Linked DNA regions of Oryctolagus cuniculus. The protein of the gene in region 1 binds, or shares a complex with, the protein of each later gene. Links are inferred from orthologs where the notes say so. Each region holds a gene or a part of one and is shown on either strand. Other genes may lie near its edges.

Evidence for each region.
Region 2: the proteins of EDNRB (region 1) and EDN1 are in contact, whole or in part, in a cryo-EM structure (PDB 8XWP), measured with the Homo sapiens proteins. The link is inferred for Oryctolagus cuniculus from reciprocal best matches to the Homo sapiens genes EDNRB and EDN1. Residues at the interface, in NP_000106.1 of Homo sapiens: Pro88, Pro89, Ile94, Glu95, Ile157, Asn158, Lys161, Glu165, Asp166, Trp167, Val177, Pro178, Gln181, Lys182, Val185, Phe240, Ile243, Met245, Tyr247, Leu252, Ile254, Leu256, Leu257, His258, Pro259, Lys270, Lys273, Leu277, Trp336, Leu339; in NP_001403492.1 of Homo sapiens: Cys53, Ser54, Cys55, Ser56, Ser57, Leu58, Glu62, Cys63, Val64, Tyr65, Phe66, Cys67, His68, Leu69, Asp70, Ile71, Ile72, Trp73.

Annotation. Positions count from the first base shown.
Region 1 is NC_091440.1:34,448,068-34,457,821, reverse strand, and holds the start of EDNRB (endothelin receptor type B), read right to left. Parts: upstream 6,081-9,754; 5' UTR 5,727-6,080; intron 5,156-5,726; 5' UTR 5,103-5,155; coding exon 4,623-5,102; intron 1-4,622. UniProt on the Homo sapiens protein: Non-specific receptor for endothelin 1, 2, and 3. Mediates its action by association with G proteins that activate a phosphatidylinositol-calcium second messenger system.
Region 2 is NC_091436.1:158,319,080-158,328,740, forward strand, and holds the start of EDN1 (endothelin-1 precursor), read right to left. Parts: upstream 6,365-9,661; 5' UTR 6,312-6,364; coding exon 6,248-6,311; intron 4,761-6,247; coding exon 4,592-4,760; intron 3,385-4,591; coding exon 3,226-3,384; intron 3,080-3,225; coding exon 2,966-3,079; intron 2,026-2,965; coding exon 1,923-2,025; 3' UTR 1,301-1,922; intron 1-1,300. Other genes in the region: uncharacterized protein, read left to right, coding at 6,365-6,675, 6,760-6,904, 7,701-7,812, 8,098-8,621. UniProt on the Homo sapiens protein: Endothelins are endothelium-derived vasoconstrictor peptides. Probable ligand for G-protein coupled receptors EDNRA and EDNRB which activates PTK2B, BCAR1, BCAR3 and, GTPases RAP1 and RHOA cascade in glomerular mesangial cells.

The sequences.
Region 1 (9,754 bases):
AATTTTTTAACTTCTCTCCAACCTGCAACCAAGTCTTGTTAAATATAAGCACCAAACCAAACCAAGCCAAATCAACTAACCAATCAACCAATCACAACATAAATACCTTCATAGCATCCATGTTTGTACCCAGTTCCTTTGCTACTGACACAGGTTTCACATCTGTGCTATTATAACTTAGTGGTCAGATCAGGCTTTCATATACAGCAAACATCTGTATTACCACATTCATTTTAGCATTAGGGAGGACATAATAAGTAGCTTGTAGATAAGGAGCAATTTATCCTAACATTAGATATTTAAATGCTGGCTTTTGGTGCAGGTGTGTATGTATAGAACATGTAAATACTGGCCATGGTGACCCAAATATGTATTAGAGATAGACATTAAGATATGTACTCCTCTCTCTCTATATATATGTAGAGAGATATACAAAATAATGATTAAAACTATGCGACAATAACTTTGGAGTATAATATGACAATATATATCAGAGTTACAATCCTGTAATTTAGTAATTCCAGTTCTAGAAATTTACCCTTTAGATGTAGTCACACATGTGAGCAAAGCCCTATGTAAGAACATTATATGTAGCCATGTTTATATTGACAGGAGCTGAAAAATAACATTCAGAAATTAAATGATCATTTTAATGCACATACATTTATTTTAATAGCATTTTTATGTGCTTACTAATGATAGATCCTGTCCCAAGTGATAAATATCTACATACTTATATATATATATATGCATTCTTATAACATTAAATAATTGTGTGTGTACATACATATATACACATACATAGGTTTTTGTTTTGTTTTGTTTTGTTTTTGGACAGGCAGAGTTAGACAGAGAGAGAGAGAGAGACAGAGAGAAAGGTCTTCCTTCCGTTGGTTCACTCCCCAAATGGCCACTACGGCTGGCGCGCTGTGCTGATCCAAAGCCAGGAGCCAGGTGCTTCCTCCTGGTCTCCCATACAGGTGCAGGGCCCAAGGACTTGGGCCATCCTCCACTGCCTTCCCAGGCCACAGCAGAGAGCTGGACTGGAAGAGGAGCAACCAGGACAGAATCAGCTCTCCGACTGGGACTAGAACCCGGTGTGCCTGCGCAGCAGGCGGAGGATTAGCCTAGTGAGCTGCGGCACCGGCCTATACATAGGTTTTTAAATATACATTTTGGATGATTGAATTTCTTGTTTTTCATCAGGGAGGTAGCCAGTAGTATAGGCATAGCTTTAGCATGTGATGAGCAGGGTAAAGGGGCTTTTTATTTATAACATGTTAAAAGTTTATTTGAAACTATTAAACAGGTTATCTTACTAAGGTTCCATAGATACCTCTATGGCCTTAGACAAAGGATTTCAATCCCTGGCTGTACAACAGGAGACCTGGAAAGTGCACTGACTACCTGAATGTTTCCAGGGACTCAGCCCCTTGAGGGAGGCAAGGCAGGGCAGACGTGGCTCCCAAGTTTGTTAGTTTCTCACAGCAGTACTTCTGTGCCCTCCCCCCATTCCACAGCCACATCAAGGACTGTGGCTTCCAGCATTCTGAGGGATGTCAATTTTATTGAACTTTGTACTTTTGAACTCCAGATTCATGTAATAGATTCATATTGTTGTTTCTGTGCCCCTGGGCATGTAGTGTGCCAACAGAAGGGTTGAAGGACTCCAGGAACCCTCACAAATAGTACATACTATATTCTCAGAGACTATTGCTCACAAAACTAGAAATCATTAGTTTAGAGACTCAAGTTTCTCACTTTAGAATACAGTTAAATGGCATTCATGATTCTCTTAAAATTACTTGTTATGAACTATAATACTTCTCTGAAGTGTATTTTTAAAAACTTACTCTGGAGCTGCAGTGATTTGGCAGGATAAATATCTTTTTAGTAGCCCTGTATTAGGTATTTTGGTAAATAAAGCCTTTAGAATGACATCCACTATTATCATTATATGCTAGATTGTCTACAGTGGATTTCAAGAGATAGACATCCTCAAATGACCCAAATTAATTTCTGAAAAACATTCACCCAGCATCCTATTGTGTGGTACTGTGTCGCATAATGCCAGCAATGCACTTAAATGTGGTCCTGTAACACTCAAGTTTAGGGAGGGCCATGCTGTCTCTGAGTGCACTCAATGCAGTGGGATTGAGAGCATCAAGGATTCTAGGGCCAGTTGACCTTGGTTCAAGCCTAAGTTTTATCAATTTCTAGCAGTATGATGTTGGACAAGTTTCTTTACATCTCTGATGCATAGTTTCACTAGATGTAAAATAGGGTTAACAATACCTCCATAGGATTGTTGCAGTGATGTAATGAAATAAACCAAGCCCCTAGAGCATAATAGAAGGTAGCATTATCATATTATGCCTCAATTAAAACCAAAGTTCACAACATAAGATTCATCATTGGCATACTTAACTCTGGGTCCTAATTTTATGTAATGGAATTTGTTTATGGCCAATACAGATGATTATGTCACTAGATTTGTAATGACTCATCTGTTTATTTCAGAAGTAAACATATAGCTTAAATAGACTGAATGGCTTCAGGGAAAACGAAGTAACATCTTAAAGAAGAAAAGAATTTGAAAGGAAAGGAAACCTGTGTGACCCTTTTGGGAGTCAGATATTTTCTGGTTTACTGAACATACTCATGTGACCAGGCAGAAAGCAAAGTGGTCCTGAAACTGCTGATTGACACTTGATGTGGAGGCGACACACCAGGAAGGTGTCTTCAACCCCATCTTCCTCACAGCTTGTCAGCCGCTGGCTGCTTTCAGAAGGTTTGTAACTAGGATACTCAAGTGGGGTTTCCTGGGAACTCTTTAGGACTTACACAAAATTTTCAAACCTGGCAAAACTAGACTGCAATCTTCCTTTTGCAAGGGATACTGTTTTCCTTATTTTTAATTTTTCACACCACCTTGTATTCAATAGTTTCTCAATTCCATTTTGATGAATTGCCTTGAAATTCCTCTGTCAAATTAGAATGGTAGGACTTGGCCTGTGAGACTCAGTAAGAAGTAAGTGGGTCACTTCTGGCTCCAGTGGAGTTGGAACTGCCTTTAAGGGACACATGCATCAGCCCATTTCTCCAAGAAAACCCTCAGAGTTCCTCAGAAGCAACTGTCATTCATGACTGCAGGGTTTCTTCAGAGTGTCCCTCCTTTTCCGGGAGTGTGTCCCTCTAGGGCCTAGATCCTAATCCGAATCTCCTCTCTAAACCTCAGAAATGTCTGGAATTCCCTCAAAATGTGGCTATTGGGATTAGGATTTCCAGAGGTTCATGAAGGGAAGTTTACAGATATGCCTCACAGCATACTGTAAACTCACGGTAACTGCTCCCGGCACAAAGATCAAAGCATCCCCTAAAACCTTTGCCTGCCCGTTCTCCACCTTGTACTCACGACAGGGCAAATCCACAAAGTGCATCCCGTTACCTTGCATCTTGGTTGTGCTTTTACGTGCAACTCTGTAGTGCTGCTGCTGAGGGGGCAGAATTTTAAATATGTCTATAGCTCTTAAGCTGTTTTTCTTAAGCACCAGGAACCTCCCACCCCTGTAGGTAGGCACTCACAGCCTTATTGTGGAATTGAGGAAACTGAGGCCCAGATGGGCCTGGGGGGTGTTTGGAATTCCAAAGCAATCCGGAGTCAAGAAGTGTGGGTACTTATGTCCTGCTTGGCTCTTTGTGGCTGTTTCCTGGGATGTCCCTGATAATCACACAATACTGTGAACTACTGCAATCATTAGATTTTCAGTGTTCCTTGATTTCTTCCTTAAATAATCAACGGGACGCAGTCACATACTTTGCACTTTGGAATCTGGTACATTTGGGCCTGATCCCTAGCTTTCCCTCTTACTCATTGTGAGACACTGAGTGCCCTGTTTGTCATCGATTAAATGGGGATAATATCTACTTATGGGTGTGTGGAAAGAGCAAAAGAAATACGACATCTAATCTGTGGTTGGTGCACGGTAGTCGTTCAGTACAGAAGAGCTACACTCATTTACAGCAGGTGAAATGTGTTTGTCCTGCTCACTAGTCGGGGCCTCCCCAGGGCCCCAGGGTAATTTATTCCTAAAAACCCACTCCAGATCTTCTGCTTAAGGGTCCTCCAAGACTGCACTTGCCAAAGTTGGTGTGCATTTCAATCACCTGGACAAGATGCAGATTCCGATTCAGTAAGTCTGGGGTAGACTTGCATTCACAACAAACTCTCCAATGCTGTCAAGGCTGCCAGTCCATAGGTCACACCTGACTAGCCAAGCTACAGCCAGTGGGCTGGACTTGGGCACTAGATCCTCTGGGCTAGTGGTTCACCGACTTTACAGTTTATTGCAATCACCTGGAGGGCTTGTTCAATAAGAAATCGATGGGCTCTAAGCCAGATTTTCTCCTCCGTAAGGCTAGCGGTAGAGCCAGAAAAACTCTCATTTCTAGCAACTTCTCAAGTGATACTAAGGCTGCTTGTCTGGGAACGAGGCTTGTCCTGGGATTACCAAATTCCGAAGGGAATTTGGCACCAATGATTTCTGGCTTTTGCTAGCTCCCTCTAAAGGTGCTATCCCCCCTCCCATAAGCCTGCAAGGTTACTAGCAGGTGCCCTTTACCTTGTATACATTGATGGGGATGTCAATGATGATGTGCAGCAGGTCTCCTAGAGCCAGGCTGGCGATCAAGATATTGGGGCCATTTCGCATGCACTTGTTCTTGTAGATGATTCGCAGCAGTGTAGAGTTTCCGATGATGCCCAGCACGAACACGAGGCAGGATACCACAGTGTTGATGTACTTGAAAGTGTCCTTAATCTCTGTTGGTCTCTGACACGGAGGAGGGGTGCGTCGCGGGGCTCCGGCTGTCCTCCCTTCTTTGGGTATTTCAGCAGGTGCAGACGACCGTGGTAGGCTGGCGTTGGAATCCCTTGGCCAAGAGGTCTTAGTGGAAGGTGTCAGGATCTCGCTGGCTCCCAGAAGCGGTGGAGTAGCGGGGGCAGACGGCATTTCTCTCTCCTCTCCCCAGACCTCGGCCATCCCGCAGGCAAGAACCAGCGCCAGCAGGGCGAGTCCGCACAGGCTTGGCGGCGGCTGCATGCTGCTGCCTGCTTTAGCGGGGCGTCAAGTGGCAGCCCGGCAGTTTTCAGAGCCTGGAGACCGGCAGGGGAATCAAGACAGAACACTTGGGTCAGCCACTCCAGCCACGCCTCTGCAAACGCGAGCGCAGGAAGCAACTACGTAGCCACCGTCTGCGCGCAAAAGCAAAAACCAAGTTGGCGCGCCAGTGGGGAAGTTTGGCGCATCTGGCTAGGGAGCGCACGAGGGCTGAGGAATCAAAGCACCTAGTGGCCAAGGTCGTGTGCTACTCTGTAATTTGCCCTATAGGGGAACCCCGGTATCCAGGCTCTGAACTCCTAGGGTCCTCCCGGGGTGAAAGCCGCTACTCGCCGGCTGGCTGCGCTCCAGCTCCGCGAGCGCACCCAGAACTGCGCGGTAGGAATCGGGGAACCTGAGACTTGTCATCTGGGTCCCATGGCGGGGGAGGATACTGGATTAAATTGAAAACTTCTGTCCCCCTTCTAGGGGCTGCAGGCTATCCTGTACCCGCACGCTCATTTTAATTTGTTCTATCGATAAAATCCCAAACTACTAAGTCAAGTCGAGGCCCCGGGACAAGATCCGAGCGCTGGTTTTAATGCAACACCAAGCCAGAATATTTACCTCGCGGAACGGAGGCAGCAGGCGCAGAGCGACAAGAGAGGACCTCCTTCCCGGAGCTGCAACGGAGGCACGCTTGGCTCGCAGTTGGGTTCCAAGCCTAAATGCGCAGGGAGCAGAGCACGCCTCCCTCCAGCTGCAGGCGGGTCTGGCTCTGAAGGAAGGCGGAGAGAATGCCAGACAGCGAAACGTCCGGGGCTTGCTCGGGGTCTCTGCTGTCCCCAGACAAGTACTTTTATTCATTCGTCGCTTCCCCATCAATCACCGCCTGACTCCTCCCGCGCCTTCCGATCGCGCCACAACCTTTCCCCTGGGCGATGCCTGGACAGCATCAGCGGCAGAGGGGCCGTCTGTGGCCGGGGCGCTTCCCCAGAGGCTGTTTATTTGTCAAAGAGAAGCCCAAATCCAGAATGGGTCGTCACGCGCCTCACGGCACTCTGAGGCTCTGGACTAGAACCGGGCTCTTGTATTAATCGGGACAGTCAATGCCTACTCTGACTTTTGTTGCAGATAAAGGTGCCTGCCGCTGTGATATTTAGGAACTGGATGGTTGGGGGGGGGGTGCTGCTCTTGGCTCCGTTTTTGTTGCGCTCTAAGTTTCAACATGAAAGAAGAGCTTTTTTCTCAGGCCATCTCCCTGGCCCCTAAAGGACTGAGAAGTCCTCCTTCATTAACTGTAGCACAGCTATTGTCCTCTCTTCCTGCGGCGTCCTGAGTGCTACTGCCAGGTCAACTCTGGGATTTTTATACAGTGCCCATCAGGACCCGACACCTGTAGGAGACAGGAAGAAAACCAGAAAGCCGCCTTGTAAATTGAACAGTATATTATCAGGCAGAACAATCAAACGCATTCTTCGTGGCTGGCAGTTTTGCCTAAAGAGCGTGTTAAAGAGCATTCAGAAACTTGGGCTGTGAGATGCACTTGCTATTCCTCTTCTGTCTTCCAGCCGGTGAATCCCTAGTCCAGCAGTGCAGTTTCCTTCCCAGAAGGACCTGCTGCCCAGAGACAAGGTGCCTGGCTCTTTCCTTCATGGCTGGTTAATGGCATGGGTGGGACCTTGGGGTTCTGGCTGGTACACAGTGCTTTCTGGGGAAAATGGAAGTAGAAAATCAATTGCTTTGTGTTTAAATAGATGAACTTTCAATGTGAAATATGATTAAGAAAATGGCGGAGGAGTAAGGATAAAAGATTAGAAATAGGCCTAGGGTTGTGATTCCCAGTTCCAAATCTGGCTGTGTTGATCACAGCCCTTATTCTCCCTGTCAACATTCCATTGCTTCAAAGCTGAGCCAGGCAACAAAAGGTTGGGTGGATGAGAAATGATAAGAGAGCACTTGGAATATGACTGTTGCTCAGCTGGCTCCTCCAAAGGCAGGTTGGAGCCTGTCCTTCCTACCTAAGCCTCTTCCCTTCAAGTATATGCCTCCTGTGGGGCAGCTTTTCTCTCTCCCCAAGCACCCTCTCAACTCCATCCCCAACTCCATTCATAGTCCCTCCCCCGAGTTCTGGGTGTTATAATCTTCACTGATGCTTCCCTCTTCCCCTTTCTGATAACACTTTTTGATTCTCAGCCACAAGTAAGCACTTGACCATGTAGAGACTTATATGGGTCACTATTGATTTCATGTGAATCAATTTCTTTTTTCAGGATAGGGGCTGAATTATATGTTCCTTTTGTTCCATTGAAATACCTTCCACAAGTTGGGCTCAAAAATATTTTGTAATTTGTAATTTTGTATTTGTAATTTTTGTAATTATAATTTGATAATTATATTTTAAGTTATTTAATTCTATTTTGGTAATTCTAGGGATCAACAACAAAGCCAAATACTTTTAAGTAAAACATTCTTCATTTAGAATTTAAAAATATGCTACTGGCTACCCATTACAGGGTTCTATTACCTATTTAAGTGTTCCATCTGCTGACTGACTCCCAAAATTTGAAAGGTGGGGAAGGGGGAGGAGAGAGGGAGAGGAGAGAGGGGAGAGGGGAGAGGGGAGAGGGGAGAGGGGAGAGGGGAGAGATCAGTGTTCCATCTGCTGAATGACTCCCAAAATGGCTACAATTGCCAGATCTGGGCCAGGTCCAAACCTGGAACTCCACCATGGTTTCCCACATAGGTACGGGGCCTAAGCACTTGGGCCATCTTCTGCTGCCTCCCTAGTCCCATAATAGAGAGCTGGATCAGGTGATCGGCACCGGAATCTGAACCAGCACTCTGATATAGGATGCCGTCATCACAAGTTGCAGCTTAACCTGCTGCCCCACAATACTGGCCCCCGGCCCCTGGAGCTAAGATTTGAATCTGTGTCTATCTGGTTACACAGACTGCACTTTTACTTAACAAAACCACATGCAGTCTAGATAGATTTTTTTTTTTACCTTGAGAAAGCAATGTTTTAAACATTAGTAGCATTTAATTGCAGTTTATCATTTAAATGTTTCACCTCAAAATGTATGTAAAACTGATCATGTAACATGTAAAGATTTACAATTTGATCTTCATGGATGGCCATTATCAAGTCTAGGAACTGATCTCCGTCTCAGGTTCCCCTTTTGGAAAATGAGAGAAATCGTTAGAATTAAAGTTGCCTGTTGGCTCTAATAAATCAATCAGTCTCACAAACTTGACCTGTTAGAGTGGCTTGAGGTGCAGAAGTGCAGAAAAGTGGGAACAAATCTTTGGACAGATCTTTTATTTTTTTTTTTAACTCATGCCTTGAAAAATACTGCTACCAATACAAGTTTTTACTCTGTGTCTTGAAATGCCTTAATGATAAACTTTACACATAAACTTGCCAGTAGTTAGGTTCCTTGTAAATTTTATTGGTATATGAAGATACTTCAAAAAGCTTACGGAAAAATGAAATTTAAAGGTAAGTTTAAGGGCTGGCACTGTGGCACAGCAGGTTAATCTGCAGCATGCAGGGCTGGCATCCCATATGGGTGCAAGTTGGAGTCTTGGCTGCTCCTTTTCTGAATCAGCTCCCTGCTAATGTGCCTGGGAAAGCAGCAGCAGATGACCCAAGTGCTTGTGCCCCTTTGCCCACATGGGAGAACCAGAAGAAGCTCTGGGCTCTTGGCTTCAGCCTGGCACAGCCCTGGCTGTTGCAGCCATCTGGGGAGTGAACCAGCAGATGGAATATCTCTCCATCTCTCATTTTCTCTATATCTCTGTAATTCTGCCTTTCAAATGAATAAATAAGTAAATAGATCTTAAAAATGATAAGTTTAGGGGCTGGCACTCTGCTGTGGCAGGTAAAGCCACCATCTGCTGTGCCAACATCCAATATGGGTGCTGGTTTGAGTCCCGGCTGCTCCACTTTCAATCCAGTTCTCTGCTATGGCCTGGGAAAGCAGTAGAAGATGGACCAAGTCCTGAACCCGTGTAGGAGACCAGGAAGAAGCTCCTGGCTCCTGGCTTCGGATTGGCGCAACTTTGGCCATTGCAGCCAGGTTGAGCAGTGAACCAATGAATGGAAGACACCCCCCCCCCCCCGCCTCTCTTCTCTCTGTGTAACTCTGACTTTCAAATAAATAAATAAATCTTTTAAAAATGATGTTTATTTTGGTGCAAAATATTTTATAATCCTTGCACAGTTTTTTCATGATACCCAGTTTTCTATGTACTTTTTAAAGTAGTCACATATATTAAGTACCACATATATGAAGTACCCACATATATGTTAAAATATTTTTCCAAAAACTTTGAGGTTCGAAATAATTTTGTGCTTATGAAGGTTTTTTTTTTTTCCCTAGGTAAATGTGCCATCTTTCAAAAAGCTGCTTTTCTGTAGACACTTTTGCAAAGTGAAGTTTTAGGAAATCTGCCGAAATTCCAGATTGGCTAAGATCACCTCTCAAAAGACTACAAGGTGGTGAGAGGCAATGTCCCAATATCCCCTTTAAATGCTGCAACTAGATGGCCCTGAAGACAGGATTGAATGCACTTCAGAATGAGTTCCTCAAAGAGGTTTACCATAGGGAGCTTGCCCAAAGCAAACCTTCTCCCCTGGTAAGAGAACAAAG
Region 2 (9,661 bases), on another chromosome or scaffold:
CCCTGCACACCCAGAGGCTGTGGTTTGACTTCCTTCTGATGTGGCACTGCTGGCACTGCAGTGATCACCAGTGGTCACCCTGGGCTAATATTTGCAGAATGCCAGGCATTCTTTCGCCTACTGCCGGGGATGGGCGGTAGGGATTCTTACAGGCTGACCAAGCTCGCAAGGGCTTCTCTCTGCCAGGAAGGCCCCTTCACAATAATGTTCTACCCAATATTTTGGCATAGTGGAGAGAATGGGGCTGCTGGGCAGCAGGTGACCTGAAATTAGCACCTGGTGCATCTAGCTCCATGGGCGAGTGGCCAGTCCCGGGCTACCACAAAGGCACCGGGCTGTTCATTGCCCTTTGAAAGAAAAAATTCTTAAACTGAGCAAATAAAAAGCCACAGAGAGCTACTGCTTGCACGAAGCAGGCAGGCCACCTTCTAACAACAACCCTGGTGCGGAGTGGTGTATAATGTGGGTGGGGGGGGGGGCAGGAGTCAGCTTGCATTTGCTTCCTGCATGCACTCACCACGCCATCCGCTTCAGCCATCTGATCTGGCCTAATAGAGCGAGCAGAGTTAATGGATGAAGTCCCTGGGGAGATTCAGGCAAAGGGGAAAGAGAGGGCTGCTATGCGAGGGACGACAGAGGTGTTAGAGCTGGCTTCTTGTTTTCCATTGGTTTCACTTTAATGCAATCTACAAGCAACTTTTAAGATCTACATCAACTCCTTTTTTTTTGATTAGCTTAAACTATTTTCCTTCTGCCACATTTATAAGCAGCCCTTTTTACATTTCTTACCACTTGGTCCCACTCCTTAACAAATTTCAGAAACAATTCAAAAATCAGTTTGATAGGGACAAAAATATTTATTTTCTAAAGTCATTACCTTGATAGGCAAAACAAAGCATTTTCTTAATTTCATTCAGAAATACATTTTTTAAAAAAATACATGGACCAATATGGCCTGCCCAAACATATATTTAACATGGTAAATATAAGGAATGAATTGCTCGAATATAAATATCTATAAAAAAATAAGTACATCAAAATTCAATCCAACCTCTTCCATTACCCGGTTACATAAAGGACAACAATTTTCCTGCTTTAAAGAATAACCAGCAGTGACTTTCCAATATCTTTCATAAACAACCCTACAACCATTTTTTTTTTTCCAGAAATCAAGGTCAGGGAATCTCCTGAATCAAGGATCTTTTTTTCCTGATGTATGGGAGCTAGCAGATTACCATGAGAACGTGAAATCCACCATTGACTGACATGTGGGACCAGACTTCCTTGAGTTCAGTATGGGGGCTCAGGAGGGAGAGAGTTTGGGGAGGCAGTCATGAGTGCAATAGAGGTGAGGTAGACTCATTCATGAAACACATCCTGATTTGCAGTAGTAACAGTTTCAGTTTTGCATTTTATGAATCAAAAAAAAAATACAGAGTCTTTCTTTTTAACTTGAGTGCTTGTCCTTTGAGTGTGTTTTCAATTTGTGCATTCCTTAGCAAAATCGTTGCGTGGACTCTGCAGTGCCTCCCTGAAATGTGCCGGGTGCCTGAGTCAGGCACAAACACTTCCACAGGACCTTCTTCAGCAACTCCACCCTGATCCTGCTGGAGGCTGGCACCCTAGCTCCAAAGGCACTGTGTGTCTCTGCCTTCTGAGAGGTCTACTACCATCCCCGAGCCACAGAGGAGACCCGAGCAGTTCCTGCCGTAGGAAGCCAAGGAAGACAGGTGCGAGCACTCCTTGGTCTCTCCTGGGACGTTCAGAATAAGGACGCTGGTTCTCCACCCGGCTGGAAGAAGATACAGTCTGACAGGGAGACAGCTCCAGCTCTGGTCCCAGGCAGTGAGGGAAGAGAAAGAGCGAGTGAGAGAGTGAGCAGAGTCAGCCACACGGCTCCGACAGGCCCAGGAGATCGGTCATCAATGTGTCCGGTTGTGGGTCACTTTCTGCTCTCGGTGGAGCTGGGCTCTCAGCTGGGCAGCATGAAAAGATGTCTTGATGCTGTTGCTGATGGCCTCCAACCTGTCCACCCAAGACAAGGGAAGAGAACTGTTAGCTACAACTCACTCCTGGACTAAAGAAGCATCTAACATTAGCATCTGACACAAGAATAGGAATCTGTTCCTCTATTCCTGTGTTTACCACTGACCTCCACAGCATGCTAGCAGTGATAAAACCTCAAGAGGTATCTATTACCATTGTGAAAATAAAGCCCGCCCTCTAGGCTTTGAATGGAGGTGAGGGTCTTAAGGTCATGGCCAAGGGGAACTGAGCGCCAAGTGTGATTTTAAAATAGATGCTCTCAATTCCTCTGCAGCCCCATCCCAGTCTCAACCACTGTGGGACCCTGTACACAGACAGGCAGCACAGGTATCAACAACCCCCACCTGAGACTGACTACAAACCCAGAGAGTCTCTGGAATGACATGGGCTGGCCACCAAATGCATTTCCCTAATTTAAAATAAATAAATAAGCAAACCCAAAAGACAGCATGTTCTAAATCTCACCAACCCTGCCTAATGACTTCACTTTCCCTTTGGCCATTTGAATAACTGCTGATTTTTGAAGACCTTGATGATACAAGACACTTTGAGTTTTTCTGTTTTTTTCTTTTATGTCCTTTCCCTGACATGATTTTTAACTTGTCAAGGAAAGAAGTAAATGCACGGACTCCGAGAGGCAACATCTGACTGTGACCAAATGACAGACACATCTCTGACATGCTTTGTTTGGAAAATCCACATGTTGACTGAAGGGGCTGTGCCCCAAGCACAGGGAGCAGCAATCAAGGCTTTGTGAAAATATTCGAGAGGGAATTCTCTACTCTGTTTCATCTCGTGAATTCCAAGATCCCTTTTCTTGCTGTCTTGGAGGTTTTCTGCCCAGCTAGGTAAATGGTTCAAGGGCAGAAAGGATGCCAGCATCGGTGCCCAAAAATAAATTTTGTGCAGAGTCTCTTACCTTCTTATTTTTCTCCCTTGCATCAGCTTTTGAAGAATACACTTCTTTCCAAGCTTGGAGCAGTCTTTGCCTTTCTTAAGGTTGTTCCTGCCTTTCTCCATAGTCTCTTGGGCTCTGTGAAAACACACAGGAAAAACATCTTCAGTTTCATCCTGCCTCTCAACATCAGTTACTCTCTCTCAAGCAAGGAGGTGTCCTTATCCTAGGAAAGAGGTCGGGAGACTTAACCCTGATTGAACAGCAAAGCTGCTCCTACTCACCTGAGTTCCGTTCCTGCTTGGCAAAAATTCCAGCACTTCTTGTCGTGTGGGCTCGTGCACTGGCACCTGTTCTTGTGGTACGCTGCCCTGGTAGGAAATAAATCCTTCAAGGATCGCTTGGACCTGGACGGGCTTCCAAGTCCATACGGGACGATGTGCCTGTGATGGAGAGAAAAGAGCAAAACACGTCAGCATCATCAATAGTCTTTAAAACAGCCACATTCTTTGGGGTGAGTTCATTCCATTGGGCACACACAGAGCTACAGCACTTGGGAGCAGTAACTTAGGAGACTCAAGGGTGGCCACACGCCCTTCCAATGCCCTGAGTGTGTGTACCCAGCCGGGAGAAAACCCCAGCTGCTGATTCAATGAGGCTCCTTTTCAACTCTTAACAAAGTTCAGTTACTTCTCCAGACCAGCAGCTGGTTTTGGTCTAAAATTATGGGATCTTTGCTTTGGTGTCCCTTGTATATTGGGGGGACAGATGGCAGAAAGCATAATGCAAAACCATAACTCATAAGATTTGTAAAACCTACTGTCCTGTGAATCAGGTATGATATAATGTATGTTTCCACACATCACATGACTGCAGGAGACCCTCTGGTACTTTCTAAGGGGACTCCTTGAATTGTCCCCTGAGGAGTAAAAAGTGCCCCCACCCCCAACGCCTTGACAGTTTCACCTCACTAAGTATTAGGCTCTTTGTGGTTGGATCGGATTGGATTTGGGTTTTGGCTGTTCTTTTCCATAATGGGACATGGACGGGATAGACAAGTGAAAGGGTCCCTGCTTATAACTGGTCTTCACTCTGCAGGGGGGAGAGGAACCCACGGGCTGCATGCCTCTCTTCGCCTGGAAATGAGCTTTTCTATGGATAGAAAGGGGACAGGACCCAGGATCCAGTCCTAGCTCTGCCTCATGCCGGCACAGGTGGCCTCCGACACGAAGGTCTTTTCCTAGAAGTAAGATGAAGGGTTTGGATTCTGCTCCCCAGGCGCCCTTCTGCCTGTGTCTCTGCCCAGCTGTGAGAAGCACAGGCTGGGCTAAGGCAGCTAGGATCCGGAGACTCTTCCACCAAGCCCTGTGACAGCCTGCTCAGACAGCTCCCTTCTGGGAGGGTTCTCCTCTGCAGTTCCGCATAGCGGCTCCCTGCTTGGCCTCAGCACCTTGCACCCCGTCTCCCAGGGACCAGTCTCAGCCACAGAGGCCTCAGAAGACCCTGCGAATTGCAGGACACAGAAGGCCACTCTCAGAAGCCAAGCCGGGAGCTCCCCCGAGAAAAGGGTACACCCGGGACCCGCGCTTCAGCTTCCGCGGAGCCAGAGCTCAGGAATGACTGGAGCCACGACGCCCCCTAGGGACTCACCCGGGGGTGTTGACCCAGATGATGTCCAGGTGGCAGAAGTAGACGCACTCCTTGTCCATCAGCGAGGAGCAGGAGCACCGCTTGGAGCGGCGCGGCCGCCAAGGTGCGCTGGCCGGGGGCTTCTCCCCTGGGTTTTCCGCTCCTGTGCTGAGCTCCGTGCCCGAGGCCGCTGTGGAGAGAAGGCGCACATCAGTCCAGATCTGGCGGGGCAGGCACGCGCGGGGGCGGCATAGCACCTGCTGCAGCAGCAGGGGCAGCCAAGGGGCTCTTTACTTTTTTCTTTCCTTGACACCACCTCGCTCTACCCACTGCTGGCTTATCCACCTTCCCACGAATGACAGGGAAGCAGAAGAGACAAACTCCTATAAAAGGGACTTCGCCAGCCCGTCTGCAGCAGCCGTCAAGGCAATGCTGCCAGCTGGGGGCTTGGGTGGGCTTCTGCACTGGCCGCTGACTGAAAACCAGTACATCGCTGCTCTATTCCTGGTACAGGAGCCGCTCCCTCATTGCAGATGAGCCACTTCACACCTTGTGTAAGGGTCTGGGGTCGGTATCCACACCTCTGGAAATTAGGCAGGGGGCAAAGAGCCCTGGGGAAGTGATGGGGAGAGGGAGAAGAAGGGAAGCGAACACAATATCCCCTTCACTGCAGAAGCCAGCGAGCTCCTCCGAGAAGCAGCTGGTGCACCTGGAGAGAGCGCTGCGCCTCTGGAATTCAGAATCCACGGAGCCGCGGCGCCAGGCTTGTGTGGGATCTACCGCCTCCCCCTCGGGGGCGCAGCCCTGCGCATCCCACCAACCATCCAACAGCCATGCCGCTTATCTGCCCGATTCGGTACATTTCAAATGATCAGACACATTCCTGGATTTTCATCCCCTTGACACCCTTTCTCTTTTGTCAGGGTTATGAAAAGTCCCCAAAAAAGTGCGCTGACCCTAAAAAATTAGGGGTAAGGGGGCGGCGGCGGGGAGACGCACCGCGGTACTGCCTAAATCCTTAAGTAACCAAGAATGATCCCTGCTCCCAACCCAGGACAGGTGAACACAACCGAAAATAGAGCTCACACTGTTGGGAGTGCCAAAAATCTGCCAAAAGGAAATCTAAAGTCAATAATGACAAATAATAAAAAAAAAAAAATCTGCTTCACCCCGAAACTCCCCGCGGAGGCGGGGGGAGGGAGTGCTTAATCAACAGACTTTGTTCGGCAAGTAGTATTTTACTGCTCACATATTGCTTGAATGACTTGAATAAAAGTTCTTGGCTGCAAGCTGGAATGTTGAAATATTGCACACTTTCACACAGCTGAAACAGCGCGTGTTTGTTCTAAGTACCTGCACGAACACCTATATGGCAAAATACACCCTCGACTGCGTCCTAGCTTCTCCATACCCGCTCTGCATTATTTAATTTTACAGCCAAGCCAATGCATTATGCAAGAACAACTTAAAAAATCAGAAGTCATTTTCATGCTCCGCTATACTCGGTGGAGGAATTTTCTTACTTTCCCTGGAACACTTGGGCAGCTCCGAGCAGTGCTCGTCAGGCACTTGCTATCTAAGCGTTAGTAATAAAAAGAAAACAGAAGCAAGAAATGCATTCAGTGGAGTAGAGACATTAACCTGCACAGGGGGTTGCAAGTCCGCGTGCGTGCCTACCTGTCTCGGGAGCTCCATGGAAAGCCACCAACAGCAGAGAGACCATCATGGAGAAGTAATCCATTCTGAAAAAGGTCTAAAAAAAAATCTCCGGCAAACTGAACCCAAAAGCAGACGATGAAAAACAGCCTCAGCGCTTCTCGTGGCTCGGATCCTCGGCCCGGGCTCCGGTCCCGGGGAGAAGAGGCCACCGGTGCTCGGAGCGCAGGCGGCGGGCGCGGGGCGCACGCGGCGCGGAAGGCGGCGGCGGAGCAGCGCGGGGACGCAGCGAGGACCCGGGACACTCGCCTCGGCGCAGCTGCAGAGGCGCGTCTGGCTTGGACAGCTCTCGGCCGGCTTTTTATATTGAACCCCTATAGCGTGGGGGTAAACAGCTCCAACTTTATTCCAGCCCCAGACAATGTTATTGTGTTATTAGTCACCGCCAGGCAACGTGCAGCCGGAGATAAGGCCGGGCCCGAGAGGAAATCGCTGCAACTTCAGAGGCGGACGCCCGCCGTCTGACAATTCAGGGGCGGGCTCACAGAAACAAAATACCCATTAGAGACCTTTGGTAAACCTGCCCGTGCGGCGCTGCAGTCTGCTTCCCCTTGTGCGAGCTGCCAGCCCGGGAGTCCAAGAATCAGAAGAGGGACTACAGCAGAAGTCATACCATTGGTATGAAAAGTATGAGCCACGGTTTAAATAGATTGTATTGTTGTGTGCAGGGGGATTTTTTTTCTTCATTGTTGTTCACTTCATTTTCCTTTTATGTCTCGGGCAAACAAGGGGACGCTCTCCTGCTTGCCTCCCCGCCTCCCCCGCCCCGGGGGTCCAACGATCTGGGCCGAGCAAGGTGCATTTCTCTCCCTGCCAGCCCCTACCCCCAAGTCCTTTGGGGATTAAAGTTCTTGCGCGGCGACGGAGAGGAAGATCAGGGAGGGACTGGCAAAGGAGGGGCGTAATAAAAACATCAGAGCTACTCAGACACATGCCCCCTTTTTTGTTTTATTGTCCACCTATTTGAAGACCCCTCCCCCCAAACTCTCTCTTCTGCGCCCCGGACCGGACCCACAGTACCGCTCTTAGAAAAATGGGGCGACAGGGACGCCAGGGGGCGATCAAGAGCCACAGGGGCTGCAGTTGTGTTTTAGGACAAAAAAGTGAAACCCGCGGCTGCGGCCGGCGACGGGGACCGAGGGAGCGCGGGGGGGGCGGGGGGGCGCGGGAAAGGAGCGCGCGCTCCAGCCCCCTCCCCACCCCCCCACTCCCACTCCCCGGCTTCCTCGCCCAGGACCTCGTTCCTGCTTCTCGGTTTCCCCTCGGCTTTCCCATGGGACCACCACCAGGGTGCCCCCACCCCAAGGGGTCCGGTGATCCGCAGGGAAGGTGGCGTTGGGCCGGGGACGGGATCGGATCCTGCCTCTCCTGTTGACATGTTCAAAGCAGCTGCCTGTCTGTCTCACCTTGACAGAGCCCTGGCGGTGCCCACGGGGCAGCCGCCGCGCAGGTAACAGCACGCCTTGCTGAAGAAGGCGAAGCGCCCACGTCGGACGCCGCCCCTTTCAAGGGGCTCCATTTTCCAGGTGAGAAAACGGAGGCACCCAACAGAAGCCAGCGCGCCACCAGGCTTCTCAGAGGGCGCCCCCAGGGAGACCTGCGTGGGTCCAGGCAGTCTTCTTCTCCAGCGCCTCCCCAGCACCCGGGACCCTGCGGGACACACTTCCTCCGTGTCCTCATCTCGTTCCACTCCTTTTCTCCCTGGCGCGGCAGCCCGCGCGGGCCCGTTTCCAGGGGTCTCTCTACCCAGGAGGGTCCCCCGGGGCCACCGCCTCACCACCTAAAAGTCCAGGTTTCCTCCCCGCACCCAGGCCCTCCCTGGAGTCAGACGCAGGCCGCCAAGCCACAGCAGCGGGTTCAGGCTCCTAATGCGCTCTGGTGCTGCCACCCAATCCCCGGGGACCCGGACCTGGGGCGCTCGGCCTCAGCCCAGCCCACTGCCGGCTTCGACTGGACGCAGTACCTGGGGAAGGAGACACGAGGGGACCTGATGTCATGTGCACGAGACCCAGGCCTCCCTCCACTGCCCACCCTGAAGACCCACCTGGCCGGGGGGCTCCTCCCCGGAAACGGCCACCCGCCGTCCCCAGGATCCCGGGGACCCGGGTCCTGCCTAGGCTGCCCTCCTGCTGGGGCGCCCGCCTCGCCCCCACCTGGCCGAGGCCGCCCCTGCAGGTGCCAGCGGCGGCACCGGCGCCCAAGTAGAGAAGAGTGGGAGGAAACCTGCCCGCGCGCTCCCCTCTCGGGCTGTCCGTGTCATCCCCTTGACTCTATTGGATTTGAAATCACAAAATGCGGGCCGCGATCCGCCACCAGCCGGGCCTCCCGCAGCTAGGTGAAATTAGGCAGGACCTCAGATTCGGGAGGGCCACCTGGCTCCCAGGAGAACGTCGCCCGCCTCGCTTGAACCCCCGAGCGCCCTAGACGCGGGCGCGAGTGCTCCTGCGTGCGTGGATTTCATGTCTCTCTGGGCGCGCGCGTTGGGGAGAGGGGCGTCAGTCTTGCTCTCGGGTTTCAGCCTCCTTCTCCTCCTCGGAGAGGAAGAAGAAACCCCGCGCAAGCCCAGGGAAGGCGGCTCCGGCCTCCCAGCCAGCAAGTTCCCCAAGAATCAAGGGACAGGGGGTAGAACCCCAGCAAACCCGTTTTACCAGTTGGGGGATCCCACTCTTCCCTGAGCTTCAGGCCTTGCTGGAGACGGAGGTAGGAGAAGGGGAGGTGAAATGAGCCGGACAGAGGACCAGGTGCTCTGGTTTGATGGCCAAGGAGGTGCCTGCACAGCCCCCAGCCCCAGCCCTCAAAGCGGCAGAGAGGTCACCCCCAGGGGAAGCGGGACTGGAAGGAGTGGAGATGGTGTCTTTCCTGCAGCAGAACGGTTCTCTGTAACTCTTTTGCTTTTATGTTACACTTGCATGCTGGAAACGGGTTGATAAAGCTGCTTTTTATGTATTTCTTCCTGTATCTCTATGTATTAATAGATATCTATAAATAAAGCAGCCTGAGTCCCAAATACAGATGCTACACAGTAGCAGAGTGTACTGCCTTTAGCACTCTTTCCTTTGCTCTCTCTCAACTTGTGCGTAAGAAAACTTGCAGCTTTGCCAAGCTGAGGGATTTGGTAAGAGATGTTGCATTTAGCTCAGTGAGGACCGTAGGCATTAGATTGCCGGGCAATAGCACAGAAAGGGGCACTTGGTTGCTGTAGGCAAGGGTAAGGCCTGGTCCCAGCCCTGCTGGTGACTGTCTTCCATCCTCCTGTATGTCACGCTCTTGTGAAAAATCGTGCAGTACTGTCGTGATGCCTGTGACACGTTGCACACCTCCAAGAGTGCTGAACAAACATAGCTTTTCCCTGGGGTTCACAAAGAAATGGTTGAT